Linked DNA regions of Canis lupus familiaris. The protein of the gene in region 2 purifies or fractionates together with the protein of the main gene of each other region. This does not show direct contact. Links are inferred from orthologs where the notes say so. Each region holds a gene or a part of one and is shown on either strand. Other genes may lie near its edges.

The links. The genes of interacting proteins can lie anywhere in the genome.
Region 1: the proteins of STX8 (region 2) and VAMP8 purify together in Homo sapiens (co-immunoprecipitation; 5 studies listed by BioGRID and IntAct, with this or other methods). This does not show direct contact. The link is inferred for Canis lupus familiaris from reciprocal best matches to the Homo sapiens genes STX8 and VAMP8.

The regions. Positions count from the first base shown.
Region 1 is NC_049238.1:39,846,747-39,850,914, forward strand, and holds the start of VAMP8 (vesicle-associated membrane protein 8), read right to left. Parts: upstream 2,801-4,168; 5' UTR 2,670-2,800; intron 2,162-2,669; 5' UTR 1,919-2,161; coding exon 1,916-1,918; intron 595-1,915; coding exon 436-594; intron 1-435. UniProt on the Homo sapiens protein: SNAREs, soluble N-ethylmaleimide-sensitive factor-attachment protein receptors, are essential proteins for fusion of cellular membranes.
Region 2 is NC_049226.1:34,297,442-34,301,712, forward strand, and holds the start of STX8 (syntaxin-8), read right to left. Parts: upstream 2,801-4,271; 5' UTR 2,679-2,800; coding exon 2,662-2,678; exon of another isoform or gene 2,651-2,661; intron 1-2,650. Other genes in the region: CFAP52 (cilia- and flagella-associated protein 52), read left to right, coding at 3,499-3,568. UniProt on the Homo sapiens protein: Vesicle trafficking protein that functions in the early secretory pathway, possibly by mediating retrograde transport from cis-Golgi membranes to the ER.

The DNA.
Region 1 (4,168 bases), on a different chromosome or scaffold from region 2:
AAGGCCCTAGGAGTATTTTCCGGAGCCAATATTTTTGGCTTAGGGAGGTCAGGTCCAAATGATTGTCAAGGGCAATCTTCAAAGGGAAACATCAGTTTCATGGGAGGGAAGCCTAAGAATGTGAGGGCTGACTGGGCCATCTACCTTTCTGTCTCAGACAAGGCCTCCAAGAATCAGCCCCACCCACCCACCCACCCACCCAGTCACTGGAGCCATTTCCTGGACCCCAGTACCAAATAGTGGAGTAGAGCAGAATCAAAACAGGGGGCTCACTTGTCAATTCCCAAAACAAGTGAAAAGGCAGACTTCCCTCCTATTCATTTTGCCCCCAGCACCACCAATTCCCCGAGCCCCAGCAATTCACCCTCCCTCTCTTCCTCTACTGCCCAGCTCCCAGCCGCCCTGCTCCCAACCTCTGTGGGTTCCCCATCTCACTGTGGCTTCCAGATCCTCTGTCTTGTTGCGGAGATGGTCCAGGTTTTCTCCTCGGGCCAAGATCCGCTCCACATTCTGGGTCATAATATTCTTGACTCCCTCCACCTCACTCTGCAGGTTCCGCACACGATCATTTCCAACACCTCCACTGGCCTCCTCCTGGGCAGCAACGCAGGGGTTAATTAGGCGAAGTGGTGGAGGAACTGAGACTCAGCCTCAGAGGCCAGGGGAGGGGAAGGCCTAAGGTGGACTTTAGCTTTTTTTTAATGCTTGAACTGTTTACAAAGAATGTTTTCATGTATTACTCATGTGATCAAAAACAAATGCACTTTTAAGCCCCAGAAGGTGAGTGCTGATGCTAGACAGACTAGATCCAGTTTCTTTTCAGGTTCTCAGGGCCCCTGAGGAGGAAAAGAAACACAGACCCTAAATCCCACTCCACTGTTGCCTTGCTCCTCAGATGGGGGCAGAGAACTGCTGAGCTGGCATCTCACAAGGGGGAAACCCACCACTATTAACCGAAGGATCCTCATTGAAAATATCTGTGCTGGCCAGCAGAACACCCTCAGCTGCCACAACACCCCCCTCACTGCTGGACAGCAGCTGGAGAGCTGCTCCCGCCCCAGACTTCCCCAGACCTCCGGAGCTGCCTAATTGCTGTGACCCAGAGCAACAGCCACCGGGTTCCAAGGCCCTGGCCAGGCCCCAAGAGGGAGAGCCATTGCGCCATAAACTTCTGCTTTCCCCCAACACACTGCCCCATGTGCCGGCACCAACCAAGCTGCCACTGCCTCCTTAAGCAGATATTAAATAAAAACAGCAGACTGGCTGTTGAGGGAAATGGAGGGCAAGTCCTCCCTGGCTGATAAAGTTTTTGAACAGGGAGGGCAAACCATTACTAGGCTCCTCCCTCCCTGACCCCCTAGACCTCCGAAACAGGCCAGGAGCCGGTCCAAACTAGACGGATTGTCACAGAGAACCAACTTCTGGTTCTTTTACAAACCCTTCGCCTTCTTCTCCGTGTTTAAAGAGAGGGGCCCGATTCCTTAGGCCGGGCAGAGAGAGACGGATTCTTGGAGTTTCTCGACAGGATAAAGGGAAGGGCCGACGGGGAGGGCTCCCGCCGCTGGGCTGGAATCCGCCCTGGGAACTTCGGAGGCGCTGCCCAAGGGGGGTCACCGGGCTCGGCGCCCGGCGGGCCGGAGGAGGCCAGGAAGGGCCTCTCAGCGGCTCCCGGCCTGGAATTCGGAGCCTCCACCCCCACCGGAGCCCCGCTCCGGGCCAGCTCCGAGGGCAGGGGAGGGAGAAGGCGCGGGGGCAGCCGCCCGGGCAGCCAAGTTGTCAAAGGAGAGCGGCCACCGGCTGCACCGGGCCAGCCCTCCGACTTGGCCAGCGGCCCTGCGACCCCCGCCCCCAGCCCCCCGCCCCCAGCCCCCGCTCGCCTTTCGCTCAGCCCCTCGCGAGCTCCCAGCGCGCTCACCATGTCTCCAAGCGGCTCGGGCCTGGCGGCGGCGAGACTCCCTCGTCTGTTTCCTCCCGGGCGGCCCTCGCTTCACTTCCTGCTCGCTCCAACTTCGAGCCTGCCCCCGCCCGCCGGCATCCCGAGCGGCTCCAGCCTCACCTAGCGCGGGCCGGCAGGTAGGCGGGCGCCCTCCGCTGCCCTCCCAGTCTCCTCCCAAACCTGGGCTCGGGCTTAAAGCAACAGGGCTCGATCACCAGAGATCTTCTAACGCATCAGAACCAGAAAAAAAAAAAAGAAAAAGAAAAAGAAGATCAAGCAGCCCTCCTAGGTTTCCTGAGGCTGGACCTCCTGATATAGATAGGGAAGCTGGCTCCGCCCCCCCCCCTTTTTTTTAATGTCCTGAATATCTGACTCCAAATCTTAAACACTGAAGTCAACTCTAAGTACACCACCAGGGGTAGTTCACATGGAAACAGAACACAGATATGAAAGTTTCTTGCTAGCAACCCCTGTTCCCATGTTCAGGGGTGGACAGAAAGTATTAAAATCCCCCCAAGTCTGGAGTGCTGTAATCCTAGGCTGTGGTGTCAGAAAGCTCCGGATTACTAGTGTGACCCTGAGTGAAATTCTTCACCTCTCTGGTTTTGGCAGGTGCTAATGCTGACCTCAGAGGATGGTGGGGACGTATAACAGGATAGCACACTCAGTGTGCCTGCCACAGTTTCTGAAAGGAAGACCTGTCCACTGTTGGGACGAGGGAATGATGGCTTACCAATCCCTTCTTCCCTTCCAGAGTTCAACATTTCCTTCAGAAGCCGCTTTGAGGGGTTGGTGAGCCTACTCAGAAATGGTCAGAGGCCTGCCCTATGGACAAGAGAAGGGCCCCAGGCAAAGGATTTTTCCACCACCTGGTTCCAGGCCACAGAATATCTAGTCTTCCCAGATGGTATTTATCAAGACAGAACAAAAACAGGGACAGGCAAAAGAGAACAAACATTCCTGTCCCATCCCAGAAGTATTATTAGTTCTTTTTTTTTTTTTTTTTTTTTTAGTATTATTAGTTCTAAGAGAGAAATGTCAGTTTCTCTAACACATATTTTGTTAAAGGAAATGACAATTTCTGGACCTCTGTTTTGAGATACTTTATTCTACTTTATAATGAAATCTTATCTCCAATTAAATAAGATTATTATATTTTGCAAATCTGAAATTTGATGGACAGTACCAGCCTACTTTCACAGAGAATGTGGCTGTCTCACTTCTCATCATCCTTAGAAAATCTATAAAGAAGAAAAAAAAAAAAAAAGAAAATCTATAAAGAGGTCAAGTGGAGATGGGTCAGAATCCTTGATCTGTACTTATGCTGTCCATTACCATAGCCACTGACCATATATGGCTGCTGAGCACTTAAACTGTGGCTAGTCTGAATTGAGAAGTGATGTAAGAGTACACACAGTATTTCTTTTTTTAAAAGATTTATCTATTTATTCATTTGAGAGAGAGAGCACAGGCACACATACATCAGGAGGGGAAGGGCAGAGGCAGAAGGAGAGAGAATCTCAAGTAGACTGCTCTCTGAGTATGGAACCCTGCACTGGGCTCAGTCTCAAAACCCTGAGATCAGTGATCTGAGCTGAAATCAAGAGTGGGATGCTCAACCCACTGAGCCATCCAGGCACCCCAAGTATTTCAAAGACTTTTTTTTTTTTAATTTACTTACTTGAGAGAAAGAGCATGAGGCAGGGGAAAGGGCAGAGGGAAAGGGAGAAGCCGGGAGCACAATCCAGGCTCAATCCCAGGACCCCAGGATCATGCCCTGAGCTGAAGGCAGACACTTAACTGATACTGATAACATGTTGAAATGATGTTGTGGATTTATTGAGTTAAATTTTAAAAATTGTTAATGCTCATTTCACCTGTTTCTTTTAATTTGATGAGTAGAAAATTAAAAATTACAAATGTGGCTCAAATTATATTTCCATTATAAGACACACTGATCTATGCATTAATATTCATGTGACCTTGGACAGACTGATGTGACATCTATAAACCTCAGTTACCTCACCATCTATGCCTGGCACTGAAACAACCCTCAGTAAATGGTGGCTATTATGATTACTATTATTAATGATTCCAGATGCTAAGTGCAGTGGTGGGTAGGGACATAGGATAGGTGCCAAGAAACAAAGTAGGATGTCTGAGGAGAGCATAAAGACATGGAGGAGGATTTCCAGAATAGAAATTAGGGTTACAGGAATGCCTGGGTGGCTC
Region 2 (4,271 bases):
ACAAGTGCCTAAAGTATTAGTTTAGGAAAATCCACCTGAACTTGTTTACACAAAAGGCTGGGAATGAGAGAGGAGTAGCAGAAGACCAGGAGACTTCTCCAGCTCTGTGATTCCATAACTGGTCACCAGTATCTACTGTCTGCAAGGCACAGAGCTGAAAGGATGGGCCCAGAGCAGAAAAAGGTGGTATCAAAGAGATGCCAGAGGCATTTGGGGAAAACCCAAAGGTTTAACAACCCAAAAAGAGAAGTGAAGAAAAAGCTGATGATTGGAGTTCTCAGGCCTAAGTGACCTAGATGATGGTGACACCATAGCAGAGACTGAGGACCCACCAAGGGGGACATGGAGGAAGTTCCCAGACTGTGAACTGAGCCCCTGTTCTACCATAAAAACACCGAATGCACAAATTCATCTATGTATGAGATTTACTTAAAAAAAAATCTCAGGGGCACCTGGGGATGGCTCAGTGGTTTAGCATCTGCCTTCGGCTCAGGGTGTGATCCCGGGGTCCCAGGATTGAGTCCCGCATCCAGCTCCCTTCAGGAAGCCTGCTTCTCCCTCTGCCTGTGTCTCTGCCTCTCTCTCTGTGTCTCTCATGAATAAATTTTTAAAAACTTAAAAAAAAACTTTAGCAAATAACTAGTTCAGAGACAGCGCTTATCACTTGCTCTGATGCCATTAAAGCAGTCACTGCTGTATCCCATTAGTGAACATTAGAACGCCACTCAGGAGTAGAGCATCACTGACCTACAATTTTTCAATGGCCAAAGGCAAAGCTGTACGTAGTCAAGTCTGTGTTTATAGTTTTTTTCATAGCCCTGTTCCATAGTCCCTTCTACCTTCCTGATTAGCAACCCACTGTGCAAGGTAGTGGATACTAACACAGCAGAGTTCCCGCACTTCTCACGGTCAACAGTCAAATGAGAAAGCCACCAGGTCAAACTACATGAGAGTAAAAGGGCACATTATGTGTTTTCTCCATAAACTGGGGAAGGGGCTTGGGGGTCCAATGATCGCTTCCACCAGTCTAAATGGATAACCATCTCTGAGCTTTATTTCCTACCTTAAGTGTAAAGTGAGGGGGTTAGCTTCCAGGAGGTGGAAGACAACTTAGCAATAGGTATCAAGGGCCTTAAAAATGTTCATACCGTTCAATTCAATAGTCCCGTCTGCAGTGAGCAAGAGGAGGAAATAAGAAATGGAACAACGGGGGCAGTCTTTGCAACAGTTAAACAAAACATACTCTAACATTACAGAGAGGGAAATAAATTATGGTTATTCGTAGAATGCGCTATTGTGCGCCATAAAAAGAAATCATGTTTTCAGTAAATACTTAATGACATGGTTGAAATGTTCCCTGCTTTGTAAAACATGCAGGTTTCCCTCACTATCCAAAAGTAGTCTTTCTACAAAACCTTTCATAAGCCGAAACAATGTAAAGCAAAGGGACCAACAATTACCATTATTTTATACGGAATATCTTTTGAGCTTTCCTAAACCCCCCAAAATAACCTCCCTTAGGGCTTTTCTGATGTCTTAGGGCACGCCTTGCTAATGGAGACACAAAATAAACTAAGTGAAAGCCTGGATGCTCACTGACACAATTCAAAGCTATGACAGCTTGACGCTGAGATGCTGAATGTAGTTCTCAGGGAAGGAGCTTGAGGGGAGGGTTGGGAGGTGCAAGGTCTCCATGACAGCTTGCTGCAAAACAAACACCGAATGCTATTTTTGCTTTCCCCATTTTTTTTCATAAAAGCAAAAATCCTCCGGGCTCCTGGGTGGCTCAGTGGTTAAGCGTCTGCCTTGGACTCAGGCCGTGATCCCGGGGTCCTGGAAACGAGTCCCGCATCAGGCTCTCCCTCTCTCTGCCCGTGTCTCTGCCTCTCTCATGAATAAATAAATAAAATCTTAAAAACAAAAACAGCTTCAGTCCGTAATTCTGTAGCAATCTGTTCCTTGGGACGAGAGCTCGTGTCTGTCACCATCCAGTCCTTGGGACTCAGGGTGTTGGAGGAACGACCCTCATGAGCTCTGGTTCTACTGCAAAGTTGCTGCAGTACAAACAGCCCTTCCGGATACGGACTCAGGTAAGGGCCCATCACAAGCCATACAAACACGCGCAATTCCCCTCCGCGATTCCTCCAAGTTTTCGGAAGGGCCCAAGAGATCTAGGTCCCAGTGCCGACTGGTTACTAACCGGCGCAGGTGGCGGTGGGCTGTGAACCCGGGTTCTCCGCGGGTGAAGCGAGAGGCGGCGGCGAGGTCACCAGCTGCAGCCGCATCGCAGAGAAAGGTCACTCCGCCTGGACTTGCCCGGGGAGTCCCGGGGAGTCCGGGGGAGTCCGGGGAAGCCCGCAGCCGCCAGCGCGGATCCGGGCCGGGCGCGAAATGCCCGCGGTCCGATGCGAGCCAATGCAGGGCTCCGGGCACCTTCCGGGCCTGCGCACTGCCCCCCCCCGCCCCCCGCTGCCCGGAGACCACCCGGCCCGCCTGCGGGGCCGCCCCTGCGGGCGCCGAGGCTGCGGGGCGCGCGGCAGGGTCCTCCCCCCGACCCCCCCGCCCCGGGCTCGGGAAGGGGCCTCGCTGCCGCTCCCTCGTCCTGAAGCCCCCACCGCATCCCCGGAACCCTCGGCGCGGCCGCCCTCACCCGGGGCTCACCAGGGGTCCGGGGCCATCGTGCAGTCTCCGCCCGCCGCCGCCGCCGCCGCCGCCGCCGCCCTCGGACACTTCCTGCTCGCGGCGGCGGACTACGGCGGCCGGCGCGGCTCACACCCCGCTGCTCCGCCCGGGCGCGACCGCAACCCGGAGCTGGCCTGGCGGGGGGGAGGGGGGGGAGGGCGGGGAGGGTGCACCAGGGCCTCGCAGGGACGGTCCAGAAAGGGGGGCGGCCCCCACGTCCCCCCGGGGAACACCAGGATGGAGCAGTCTAATCCCGTATGTTCCCCCGCTGCGAGACGCGAGCGACCCGGCGCGATTTAAATAAAAGCGTTGGACAGAAATCTTCAGCATTTTCCGGCGAGCATCTGAAATGTCATCCTGCTCAAAGCAAAAACAAGACGGTGGGCATAGCTGCACAACTGTAGAAATCTGCCAGAACGCACTCAGAGTTACTTTTCTATGTAGAGGTGTACCGCCACAAAGCTTAAAGATTCCTTGCAATCTTGCTTCAAGTAAGAGACCCAAAGAAGTGGCAATTATATATTACTTTATAGCGGCCTTCCTTAAATGACACGGTGCTTGGTTATATAGGTCGGGGAAGAAGTCACAGACGTTTTTCCGTGGAGGGAACGAGCACACTCAATGCCCCTACACCTCCAGGGAAATAGTGAGGGCAAGGAGCGCGGCTGCTCTTGCACCGGGAGCTCCCTGCGCCGCCGCCGCCAGTGCGTGCGGCCGCGGACCTGGTGCGCACGCGCACGTCCGTTACCATAACGACCAGGAGACGCTGCGCCGCCGCTGGCGAGAGGAGGGAGTGGAGAGCCCAGGCTCCAGGGGATGGAGAAGCAAAGTTCGCCCAAAGCCGAGGTGGCGGAGCTGGAGCTCGAGGCCGTGATCGGCTTCAACGGTGAGGCCTCGAGCGTGTCCGGGCTGGGCGGTTTGCAAGCCCCGGGGACGAATAGTGCAAACAGGGACACCGGGGGCCACCTGGAAGGTAGCGCGGGACACTGAGCCAGAGCCACGCTCTCTCCTGCCCTAAGGTCCCGGGGAGTCGAGGAGTCACCTCCTCGTTCTAAGCCTCAAGGACTGGGATGGCTTCACAGCACCTAGAAGGGACAAGGGTCTCCCCCCCCTACCCCCCCCCCCCCCCCCGCCGAAGGGATGACTAGGGTGCCCGTCATCCTTTTCATTCTAGGTTGGCTCTGCCTCGGCCTTAATCCCCCACGCAGCCCCCAAAGACACCCCCCCCGCCGTGAACTGCGAGACTGCCAAGTCCAAATCGACCCCTGGACCCAGAAACTCGTAGAATCCCAGCTGATGTGCCATGAGAAAGGGCTGGGGGCTGGACGTGGGTGTGAGCACCCGCCTTAGGGGATGGTCTAGTCCCCAGACCCCAGAACTCCTATTGGAAGGTTTCAGACCCCGATAAAAGATCGAGAGGACGCCAGGGGGAGCTGGAGGGGAGAGATGCTCAGGTCAAGGCGGGGGGTGGGGGGTGGGTGGGAAGCGGGGAGGACTGCTGGTTCTGCTCACATCTTATTTATGAGCTCCTGTTAGTTTGAACATTAAGGGTTCGGAAAGTGCTCTTTGATTTTGTGTGTGAAGGATGG